Linked DNA regions of Callithrix jacchus. The protein of the gene in region 2 purifies or fractionates together with the protein of the main gene of each other region. This does not show direct contact. Links are inferred from orthologs where the notes say so. Each region holds a gene or a part of one and is shown on either strand. Other genes may lie near its edges.

The links. The genes of interacting proteins can lie anywhere in the genome.
Region 1: the proteins of TONSL (region 2) and ASF1A purify together in Homo sapiens (affinity purification with mass spectrometry; 4 studies listed by BioGRID and IntAct, counting the BioPlex papers as one, with this or other methods). This does not show direct contact. The link is inferred for Callithrix jacchus from reciprocal best matches to the Homo sapiens genes TONSL and ASF1A.

Annotation. Positions count from the first base shown.
Region 1 is NC_133505.1:125,224,246-125,230,126, forward strand, and holds the start of ASF1A (histone chaperone ASF1A), read left to right. Parts: upstream 1-2,094; 5' UTR 2,095-2,342; coding exon 2,343-2,451; intron 2,452-4,004; exon of another isoform or gene 4,005-4,300; coding exon of another isoform or gene 4,301-4,332; intron 4,333-5,881. UniProt on the Homo sapiens protein: Histone chaperone that facilitates histone deposition and histone exchange and removal during nucleosome assembly and disassembly.
Region 2 is NC_133517.1:53,194,030-53,199,288, forward strand, and holds part of TONSL (tonsoku-like protein), read left to right. Parts: intron 1-72; coding exon 73-187; intron 188-820; coding exon 821-966; intron 967-1,060; coding exon 1,061-1,213; intron 1,214-1,454; coding exon 1,455-1,580; intron 1,581-1,713; coding exon 1,714-1,900; intron 1,901-3,178; coding exon 3,179-3,261; intron 3,262-3,353; coding exon 3,354-3,443; intron 3,444-5,259. UniProt on the Homo sapiens protein: Component of the MMS22L-TONSL complex, a complex that promotes homologous recombination-mediated repair of double-strand breaks (DSBs) at stalled or collapsed replication forks.

The DNA of each region.
Region 1 (5,881 bases), on a different chromosome or scaffold from region 2:
GCTGAGGCAAGAGAATTGCTTTAACCCGGGAGGCAGCGGTTGCTGTGAGCCAAGATAGCACCATTGCACTCCACTCCAGGCTGGGAAACAAGAGGGAAACTCCGTCTCAAAAAAAAAAAAAGAGTTAAGACAGGAAAAGCAGTATGAGAGGGCTGGAGCTAATTCTTGCAGCTTCCAGTGAAATATCAGGGAGTTTTTTTCTTCTTAAATACTGTTGTATATGACATGTTAAACAAACAAACAAAAAGCCAAATTAGTGGCATCCAGGTAGATCTTCTCAGTTCTTCCCTTCATGCTGCATATCTACCAAAAGTGAGTTTATGACTGATCTCATTGTAACACTTACGGTCAGACTGCAAAATGCACCTGATTTTAACAAGCACAAAATGTCATTTTTATGAGAGTAACTAGATTCTCAAGAGTACCTGTAATAATCAGACAACTGCATACACTAGTCTCACAGGAGTTTCAATCTTCAAATGGTCATTTTATCTTACATAAAATAGTGTCTTACAGCATACAGCAATTTCCACTTTATCGTAGCTAGTGTTAGGACCAGCCCTAATAAGAATGAAGAGTGTATTGTTTATCAGTCACAGAAATCTGCGTCTATCCCCATGGTTTGACTCTTAATACTCTAATGTCACAAACAACTGGGTTTGAAGGTCTTTTCTGGTAGGTCCTATATCTAACTGTTCAATCCACTGACAAAAAAGGAACTCTTCCCCACTCTGACATGGTTTTCCTAAATGTAAGAGGCGCTGATATTAGCTGTCTCACATTAACTTTCAAAAGACCATCAGATGAAAACGTTTCATTAAAAGGCACCTACTTAAGTACGAACAATGCCCAAAGAATGACAAATCAAAATTCTGGGCACTATACTAAGAGAAAATTCTTCCAAAACAGATACTTAAGAATTTTTCTCTCTGAATTTGGCCAAGTTTGGTGGTTTCATTCACAACATTTAAGGAAAAAAGTGATGGTTTATGGATAGCAGGTAATAAAACAACCCTTTACATCACTTACTAAATAGAAACGGTTTAGGCTCACAGACATGTTAAAGCTTCCTCTTTCCCTGCAATGGTAGTCAAGCCGCATAAACGAATCAACGTTTCCTCAGTTCAAACCCGAACTGGTTACAGGCAAGCAAGGGCTCCTGAGAATTTGCTTGCTGTGCTACAAATTTTTATTTACTAACGGTTTAGGTCAAGAATTTTTTTTTGAAGATCAAATGTCTTGCTATGCCTTTGTGTTCTTTTCCCATCTGTTATGTTTGTTGCCCTGTTGGTCTCCTGACACTTCCATTTTCTGTTCTCTCCAAATGGCTGTAACCTGGGGTATAACTAATCACATCGCTTGTGATTCTTTTCTTATTCTAGGACTTTCCAGATCTGGACTCGGAAGACGACGCCCAGGTGCAAGCCCAAAGGTTACCTATTTAGATTTTCCAAGCACAGTGTGTGGAAAATCATTCCTCGCCCTTCATTTTGTGTCTGCTTAACGGCGCTGTCGTGCCCAAACGTAGATACTGGCCAAGAGCTAGATTTCCAAAATGGCTTTGCTCCTTTCGAGCCGACATCGGTCTTTAACATGCAATTTATTTCCACTGCAGCTAATCATTCTCTCTACTCCAAATACTACCCGATACACAGAAAGCTGAACCTAACCCAGTGTAAACACGGACTCTCATCTGCTAAATTCAGCAAGGCCGTCAGAGCCTTTGCACCGATGTAAAAAAAAAAAAAAAAGAAAAAAAAGCGTTAAAACAAAAAACCAAAAAACAAAAAACGCCAAAACACCTCACACGAAACCAACTAGAGGGGCGGGCGTCGCCCGGATCGCGCCCTCCCGCCACGGCCACGCCTCCCCGCCGCGGCCACGCCCCTCGCCTCTCTCCGCGACGCCGGCGGCGGCCTCCGCGCGGGCCTCCCAGCCCTTATTCCACTCACTTTGTTCTCCGCCTTTGTCCTAATCCACACCAGCAGGTGGAGCCGCAGTTAAAGTTTCCGAGTCCATTCCGGGAGCGGGAGCCCATCTTGCTGGCTGCCGAGGCACTCGCTGGAGGAGGAGGGTCAGAGCTCGGGTGCAGCCAATCGAGGGCAACGCTGCTACTTATCAGAGCAGAATGGGCTGTAGTTTAGTGAAATAGGAAAGCTGCAAAACACTGTGGAGTGTTCCCGTGTAAATAAAAAGAGGGAAAAAAAAGTTTCTCAAGTCGCCGCTGCACGACGTCGGGCCGGCGCTGGGGCGGGGGTCTGCGCTCTCCCGGGCGGCCGCGCGCTGGACTTTATTGTGCCGCAACCAGCCCCAGTTCCCATTGTTTGTGTTTTTTTCAAAATATGGCAAAGGTTCAGGTGAACAATGTAGTGGTGCTGGATAATCCTTCTCCTTTCTACAACCCGTTCCAGTTCGAGATCACCTTCGAGTGCATCGAGGACCTGTCTGAAGGTGAGTGCGGCGCCCGCGCACCCGGGCTGTCAGTTGCGGGCTGCAGACGTTGAAAGTTTCCCGGGCCCGGCCTCGCGCTGGGCGGCCGTGCTCGGCGCCGGGCGGCCGCGGGCTCCTCTGCGGAGGGAAACTTGAAGTTGATGGACGACGGCAGCCGAGGCGCGCGCGGCGTTCCGCCGCAGCCCAGGCGTCTGCCGGGCTCAACTTGCGAGGAACTTGTTTGAGCCGAGGAGCGGAGGTAGCCATGTTGTCAGCTTTGTCTGCGAGCGGGCAGCTCGGAGACCGGCACTCGCGCCCGCGGCGCCGCCGGGGGTCGCGCGGGGCTGGCTCCACGACCAGCCTCCACGACCCTCCGGGCTTGGGCACGGAGGCTGGGAAGGGAGAGGCTGTGCGTGTAGTAGCGCCGGCGAGTTCGGAGCGGAGCCATCTTACCCCGAGTCGAGAATTGGGCCAGCGACCCCGGCGCACGGCGCCTTCTCTTGCCCCGCCGCCCGCCTGCCCTCCAGCCCCTGGCGAAAGGCAGGTAGTCAACTCTCTAGAGCTCACAGTGGAGTCGCCTCACTCTCCGGGCTGGCCATGCCCGGCCGCTTCAGAGAGGAGAGCGAGGCTGTCCTCGCGCTGATTTCTGGCTCCCTCGACCAACCAGCAGGGGAGGCGGGCACAGGCTCGGCCCCTCCGCGCCGCGGGCTGGGCGCCGGCGTTCCCCGGGGGCCGCGGGTCCTGTTCGGCCGGTCCTCCTCGGCCGGCGCCCGGGATGCGCCGGGATGCTGGCGCGCAGGCTCCCCAACCAACGTGGACTCCTTTCCCCTAATGACGAAAAGCTAATCTCAGGAAGAGAAATAAGAGCTGAGCTAGGAAGTTACATTTAACCTAAGAGCAGAAATTGGATACTTAAATAATTTCAGGACTTAATCTTTGCCTTCTAAATAGTCTTTAAGACTTTCTTCAAGGACGTGTTGAAATCTAAAATAACTCCACATCCAGATACACAACACACCCTGAACATGAAACACAAACGTAGGCTAGAAAATTAAGGTAAAATACTTAGTCCAAGAATTCTTTATATTTTTTTCTACATGTTTCAAGGTCTTAAAAATACGTATTTTAAAATATGTGTAGTAATATTTAGAAAGCTAAAACGACAATTATCCTTGCTTTTATTTTACTAAAGTAATTCAGTGCTTAATTTGCCAGTTTTGAAGGGGAAAAAGTTTAACTTCATCGATGAGGGACATCTTTGAATTAGAAGTATATTTTTAAAATGCATTGAAGATTTGGCTAATCATAGCATGTAAAACTATTTTCATTTTAAAAACTAGTTTTTAATCTCTAAAATGTATATATCTTATGTGAGTTGTTAACTTTATAAAAACAATATATGTTCATTGTAATAAACTTATAGAAAGTTGTACAGGCATATATAAAGTTAACAGTTCTCTGTGTTAAATACCTTCCCCTATCTCACTCCTTTAGGTAATCACAATTATTACTTTAACATGTGTGCCTCTGTTTTTTAAGACCTATGCAGAGCATAAATACACATATAGGGCAAATTTTAAAAGATAATTCATTTATTAAAATAATTTCAAATAGGCCATTGATAACATTAAGGGGTATTTTTCGTATTACTCTGAAGTCATCTGATTATTCTCTTACGATACTACTATTAATATAAGCATTGCAGCTACCAGCACCATTTTTCACACCCAACAGTCAGTAAATTTTTCTTTTTTATTGCCAATTGCATATAAAAACAGACAAAAGAAAAATCATTGGTCAGTCCATTCCAAATTATACCACAGTGTTCTTCAAATATACCACCAGAAGTTCTTCAAATTACAGGTATTTCTCAAGTGATGCCTTCCATTTTAGGAGTCAGCTCTGAACAAAGAAGATAGATGACTCAGGATGTCGTTATAGATGAAACCAGCCATTCATAGAAGCCAAAACATGTTCCATTTTTAAGTGGGATCCATTCAGAACCCAGCTGAATCACATCAGGGTTTTACAGTACTGGTGTCAAGAATATGCTTATTTCCAATGGTATATTTCACTTCCAAGGCACCATTACTGAGTATTTAGTATTTTAAAAAATATTTTAAGCTGAGTCATGCCAAAGCTGCAAAGGAATCTTTCAAAAAGGGGCCATGACTGTGTACTCCACCTAGAGGCTATGTGGATTTAGGAAATGAGTTTACTTAGCAAAGGTTTCTTATAGGTTCCATACTTTTATATTATAGTTTTTTTAAAAAAAAATTCTTAAACTATAGAAAAAATTTTTCTTTTAAATGAGACAGGGTCTCACTGTGTCACTCAGGCTGGGTGGAGTGCAGTGGTGCAAACACAGCTCCCTACAATCTCAATCAGTCCTCCCACCTCAGCCTCCTGAGTAGCTGAGAAGACGGTCAATGTACCACCATATCAGGCTAATTTTTTAGTTTTTTGTAGAAATGGAGTCTTGCCATGTTACCCAAGCTTGTCTCGAACCTCTGGACTCAAGCAGTCCTCCCACCCCTGCCTCCCAAAGTTTTGTGATTATAATCACTGCATCCAGCCCAAATTATAGAATATTTTGAAAAGAATTTTCTTTATGAGTTACTTTGTCTCAAGTCTCAAAGCGGAGTTTGGCCACCATTTTTCATACTTTTGTTAATAGCCCCCAAACATTCACTCTCCTAGACCTGCCCTGTAGCTTTGCTTCAGAAAAAGCCTTGAGGAATATCTGTTCTTAAGATAATTTGGTTCTAATATAAGGCTTATATTAGGAGTTAAAACAGTCTTTAAAAATGGGAGGTGCTGAGGCTTTAATGTCTGAGAGATAGAAGACCCTGGATGTGCTTGATGGTCAACGACACCTATACAGGTTTTGATTGACCATCCTGCCATTCTTAAGTTTACATCTTCATTACAACTACTCTCAATTGAATACTTAAATACTAAAATTGAGCATGGTGCTTCATACTTTCCAACTTCAGTTTGTTCTAATTCCAAAGCCTAGATACTTTCCACTAGACCACAGGTCTTCCCAAGTAGTGTAATTAGCTAAAAATTCCCTTGATGACTTCCCTCATTCACTCACTCTCACCACAAATGGAAATACTTTCAGGCTGGGTAAATCATTTAATCATGGTTACCATGATTAAATAAAACAATTAGTTACCTTTAAAATAAATGAACAAATTTCTTCAACTGAGAACTTATGTAAAACATCTGACCTTACCCTTTCTCCCTCAAATACAGGGGGCAGAGGAATTACAAGAAAGCTGAGAAGTTGGGTTAAAAAAAAAAAAACTGATGCCAATGTATAAAAAAAGTACTGGGCATGTAAAACTCAGTAACTATAGCAAGCATCCCATAAACATAAATATCAATGTACAAGCGCTCCCTGAGTTGCAGCCTGTTCTTGTTAAGGCTAGATTATCTCTTCATT
Region 2 (5,259 bases):
CACCAAGCTTGGGCTTCTGGTGACTCAGACCTTGGGGAATCTGCAAAAATCTCTCTGTTCTTTGCTTTCCAGGTCCTCCAAGACCTGGGAGACTTTTTGGCTGCCAAGCGAGCCCTGAAGAAGGCCTACAGGCTGGGCTCCCAGAAGCCTGTGCAGAGGGCAACCATCTGTCAGAACCTCCAGCACGGTAAGTCTGGGGGCCGGAGTGGGGCCTTGGGAGGCATATGCAGGGATGAGCCTGGGGGCCAGGGTGAAGTCCCAGGAGGTGTGTACAGGCCTCCCTCCCTCATGGAGGTTGCCTGAACACCTGTCCTTGGAGGCAGCAGCTTCAGCTTCTAGCAAGAGGGGCAGGTGCCCCCACTTCCTGACGGGGGAGACCCCTGTTTTTCCTCTGAGCTCAACACAGTGTGTCAGGGGCACTGAAAGGGCAGCCAGGAGACTAGCTGGGTATTTATTTTGCGGCCACCGTCTTCATTCGCAAACTGGAGACTGTAGTTGTTCCTGTAGTCTCCCAGGTGGGAGAGCAGGTGGCACGAATGTGGTCCAGGAGTGCTGATGACTGAGACCACCGTGGGAGGTTGGTAGTGGTCAGCCTTTGCTTTGAACCAGGCACCATCTGAGTTTTTAAGTGTGTCCTTCTGATCTCTGAGACCAGTCCCTGAGACAGACCCTGCTCTTACCCCAACACCAACAGGCAAGCAGAGGTGTGGAGAAAGTAGTGGGGCCACCACAGGGCTCATGGCACACAGGTGGTGGAGCTGACAGCAGGGCCCCCTGTGTGCCCCCTGGGCTCCCCGCTGCATGAACCTTTTCCCGGCAGTGTTGGCAGTAGTCCGGCTGCAGCAGCAGCTGGAGGAGGCCGAGGGCAATGACCCTCAGGGTGCCATGGCCATCTGTGAGCAGCTAGGGGACCTCTTCTCCAAGGCAGGCGACTTTCCCAGGGCAGCTGAGGCTTACCAGAAGCAGGTGTGTGGTCCCCACTGGGTTGGGGGAAGGGCTGGTGAGGTTGACAGGGCCTGGCCAGGATGGCAGCCCCAGGCCTCACTGATGCTGCCCCCAGCTGCATTTTGCTGAGCTGTTGGACAGGCCAGGGGCAGAGCGGGCCATCATCCATGTGTCCTTGGCCACCACGCTGGGAGACATGAAGGACCACCTTGGGGCCGTGCGCCACTATGAGGAAGAGCTGAGGCTGCGCAGCGGCAACGTGCTGGAGGTGAAACCCCTGCTCCCTGCCCGAATGCAAGTTCACCCATGTCTCTGCCTCAGGACTGCCATTCTCAAGGGTAGCCATGGACAGCCATCCTTCCTAGACAGGCAGCTCCTTCCTAGGACCATCCACCCTCGGCAGCTGGGAGACAGGGCTCTCACTCCATGTGGGCAGCTGGGGAAGCCTGGCTGGGGCCAGGTGGACATGGTGGCTGCCAAGCCTCAGATCTCATCTCCTCCTGCTCCAGGAGGCCAAGACCTGGCTGAACATCGCACTGTCCCGAGAGGAGGCTGGTGATGCTTATGAGCTGCTGGCCCCGTGCTTCCAGAAGGCACTCAGTTGTGCCCAGCAGGCCCAGCGGCCCCAGCTGCAGGTACAAGAGCATGTCCCACCCATGTCGGCTCCCCAGTGAGCCCAACTTCCTTGCAGCCTGCCTTCCCCCCGTCCTACATCCCTATCTTTCTTTGCACCCCCAGTCCTGAGCTGAGCATCTCTCTGCTCCTCAGAGGCAGGTCTTGCAGCACCTCCATACTGTGCAGCTGAGGATGCAGCCCCAGGAGGCCCCTGGCACTGAAATCAGATTACAGGAGCTCATTGTAGCTGAAGACGAGGAGGAGGAGGAAGAGGAGGCGGCGGTGGCCACAGTGGACAGTGGAGCCCTGGAAGCCAGTGAGGTGGAGCTCTCAGAGAGCGGTGAGGCCTGGCGGCACCTGGCATTTCTCTGAGTCTGTCCTGGGCTGGGCTGGAGAGGGGTGTGCTGTGCTGCTGTGGAGCCTGCTCAGGGCTTGTGGCGGGAACAGCCAGAGGGAGGCAGGACGGCCAGTGCTTCCCTGGAACTGAGTGGAGAAGGTGGTGAGCTGCAGGGAGCCTGGGGCAGGCCATGGCTTCCCAGAAGAGACAGTGGTTGAGAGCTGAGTGTGTGTCAGTTGGAGACATGGTCCCATTAGAGGTGGAGGTGCCATCCAGGGCCAGGGTTGAGACGGTGCGTCTTGAAGAGCCTTGCTGCCCCCGCAAGAGCTGAGCACCTTCCTGAAACCCTCCAGAGCAGGCTTGGGTGTCCTCCAGAGCCGAGTGAGGTCGGCTGCATGGAGGACGGACATGAGGGACTGGCTGGAGAGGGGCTTGGACTGAAGCCATCTTGGCTGTGGTGCAGGGAGGGAGGGCCGAGAGTCGGGTCAGTGGGTGGCTGAGGGGCTGGTTTCTGACTGAGTGGTAAGTGTCAGAAGCCTGTCCGTGAGGCCTGTTTGGGGGGTGTTCCAGGGAAGGCTGTGACTTCAGCTCTATACTTGAGGGGTCCTTTAGAAACCCAAGTGGCCGGCCAGGCAGCTGTGGGAAGTTGGAACTTCACCAGATTGGTTGCTGGGGCAAGGTGGATCAGGATCTGGAATTTTGGGGAGTGCTGTTCGGCACGTGGGCACAGTGAGGAGCTGGGGAAGGGCCAGGAGGCAGCTGGCAGGGTGCGAAGGGCGTGGTGACGAGGGATCACCAGGAGCAGGGATGGAGGTGGGTATGTCTGCTGCCTAAGCAGGGTGGGGGCTGCGAATGCAGGGCACCCAGACTCCAGGGCTGACCTGGCCTGATGACACTGCTCAGGAGATGGGGGTGGAGAAGGCCTGGGATGGTGGGAGGCTGGCCCGGGAGCCAGTCACAGCATGGGGATGAGCAGCTGGCTCACGGATGGATGGGGCCTCAGGCAGGCCTTCTGAGGGAGGGCCAGGCCTAGGTTGGGCCAGAAAGCTTAGGGGTGTGTCTTAAGTGGGCAGAAGATGGCAGGCAGGAGCAAGCAGGGTCAGGTAGACCCAGAGGCAGCGCCGGGACCGCTGCCAAGGAGCCCCAAGAGCCCAGCAGCCTCAGAGCTCAGCCTGCCACCTCTGGCTCCTACCTGGGAGTTCGGGGAGCTTGCAGCAGGGTAGGGGCTTCTAACCTTTGCCTCCCACAGACTCATCTGGAGTGGGTTTGGCTCTGTTTCAGAGGACGACACTGATGGCCTGACCCAGCAGCTGGAGGAGGACGAGGAGCTACAGGGCCGCCTGGGCCAGCGGAAGGGGAGCAAGGTGAGGATGGTGCCCTGCCCCCACCCACCCTGCTCAGCAGCCCTGCCAGCCCCTCACTCCCCTGTCCTGTGCTGGGTTGGCTGTGCCCACAGTGGAACCGGCGAAACGACATGGGGGAGACCCTGCTGCACCGAGCCTGCATTGAGGGCCAGCTGCGCCGCGTCCAGGACCTCGTGAGGCAGGTGGGCCCTGCTCTAGGACTTGGGACAGGCTGCCCGGCACAGAGGAGCTGTGTGTTTGGGCAGGGTCCCTTGATCTCTGTAACTCTCAGCTTCCTTATCTTTAGAATGGGACCCCTTAATCAAGCATGGTGGCACTTGCCTGTGGTCCCAGAGGTGGGAGGATCATTTGATCCTGGGAGGTTGAGCCTTAATGAGTCATGATTACACCAGTGCACTAGCCTGGGCAAAAGAGTGAGACCCTGTCTCAAAAAAAATGAAAAAGCAGAGGCTGAGCATGGTGGTGTACACCTGTAATCCCAGCACTTCGGGGTGCCAAGACACACAAATCGCTTGAGCCTAGGACTTCAAGACCAGCCTGGGCAACATGGCAAGACCCTGTCACTACAAGAAATTTAAAAATTAACTGGATGTGTTGGCATGTACCTGCCATCTACTTTGGTGTTTGAGGTGAGAGGATTGCTTGAGCCTAGGAGGTTGAGGCTGCAGTGAGCTGTGACTGTGCTACTGCAGTCCAGCCTGGGTGACAGACCAAGACCCTGTATCAGAAAAAAAGCCACAGGCCAGGCGTGGTGGCTCATGCCTGTAATCCCAGAACTTTGGGAGGCCGAGGCAGGTGGATCACCTGAGGTTGAAATGGAGACCAGTCTGGCCAACATGGTGAAACCCCGTCTCTACTAAAAAAAGAAAATTAGCCAGGTGTGGTGGCACGCACCTGTGGTCCCAGGTACTTGGGAGGCTGAGGCAGGAGAATCTCTTTTCTTTTTTTTTTTTTTTAGACGGAGTTTCGCTGTTGTTACCCAGACTGGAGTGCAATGGCACGATCTGGGCTCACCGCAACCTCTGCCTCCTGGGTTCAAGCAGTTCTCCTGCCTCAGCCTCCCCAGTAGCTGGGACTACAGACACGCATCACCATGCCCAGCTAATTTTTGTATTTTTAGTAGAGACGGGGTTTTCACCTTGTTGACCAGGATGGTCTCGATCTCTTGACCTCGTGATCCACCTGCCTCAGCCTCCCAAAGTGCTGGGATTATAAGCGTGATCCACTGCGCCCGGCCAGGAGAATCTCTTGAACCCAGGAGGTGGAGGTTGCAGTGAGCCGATATTGCACCAGTGCACTCCAGCCTGGGTGACAGAGCAAGACTCCATCTAAGAAAAGAAAGAAGAGCCACAAAATAATGGCGTGCAGCTGGGCACGGTGGTGGCTCAGCACTTTGGGAGCCCGAGGCAGGTGGATCACCTGAGGTCGGGAGTTCGAGACCAGCCTGACCAACATGGAGAAACCCCAACTCTACTAAAAAAAAAAAAAAAAATTAGCTGGGCATGGTGGCACATGCCTGTAATCCCAGCTACTTGGGAAGCTGAGGCAGGAGGCTCGCTTGAACTCAGGGGCTGGAGGTTGCAGTGAGCCCAGAGCACACCATTGCACTCCAGCCTGGGCAACAAGAGCAAAACTCCGTCTAAAACAAAAACGAGGAGTGCCTGGAGTATGGTACGTATCTGTGCTGCAGCTAAGTTGGTTGGCTTGGCCAGGATGGAGACTAGCCCGTAGGCTGAGACCTGGGCACCTTCCTGTGCTGCCTGCCTCATACCCTGTGACTGGGTGGGCTGTCCTCCCACAAGGGGACCAGGCAGGCACAGAGGCTGAGGGTATGCTGTGGCTGGTCCACCTGTCTCGAGAAGCGTGCCCTTCTGGAGGAGGAGAGTGCAGAGCCATGGGACTTGGTCTGGGCTCTAAGACTAAGGCCTTGGGCCCCATTCAGGCCACAAAGCTCGTGGGGCTGGGGCCAGGTTGTGAGGGGCACAGGGCCAGACTCCT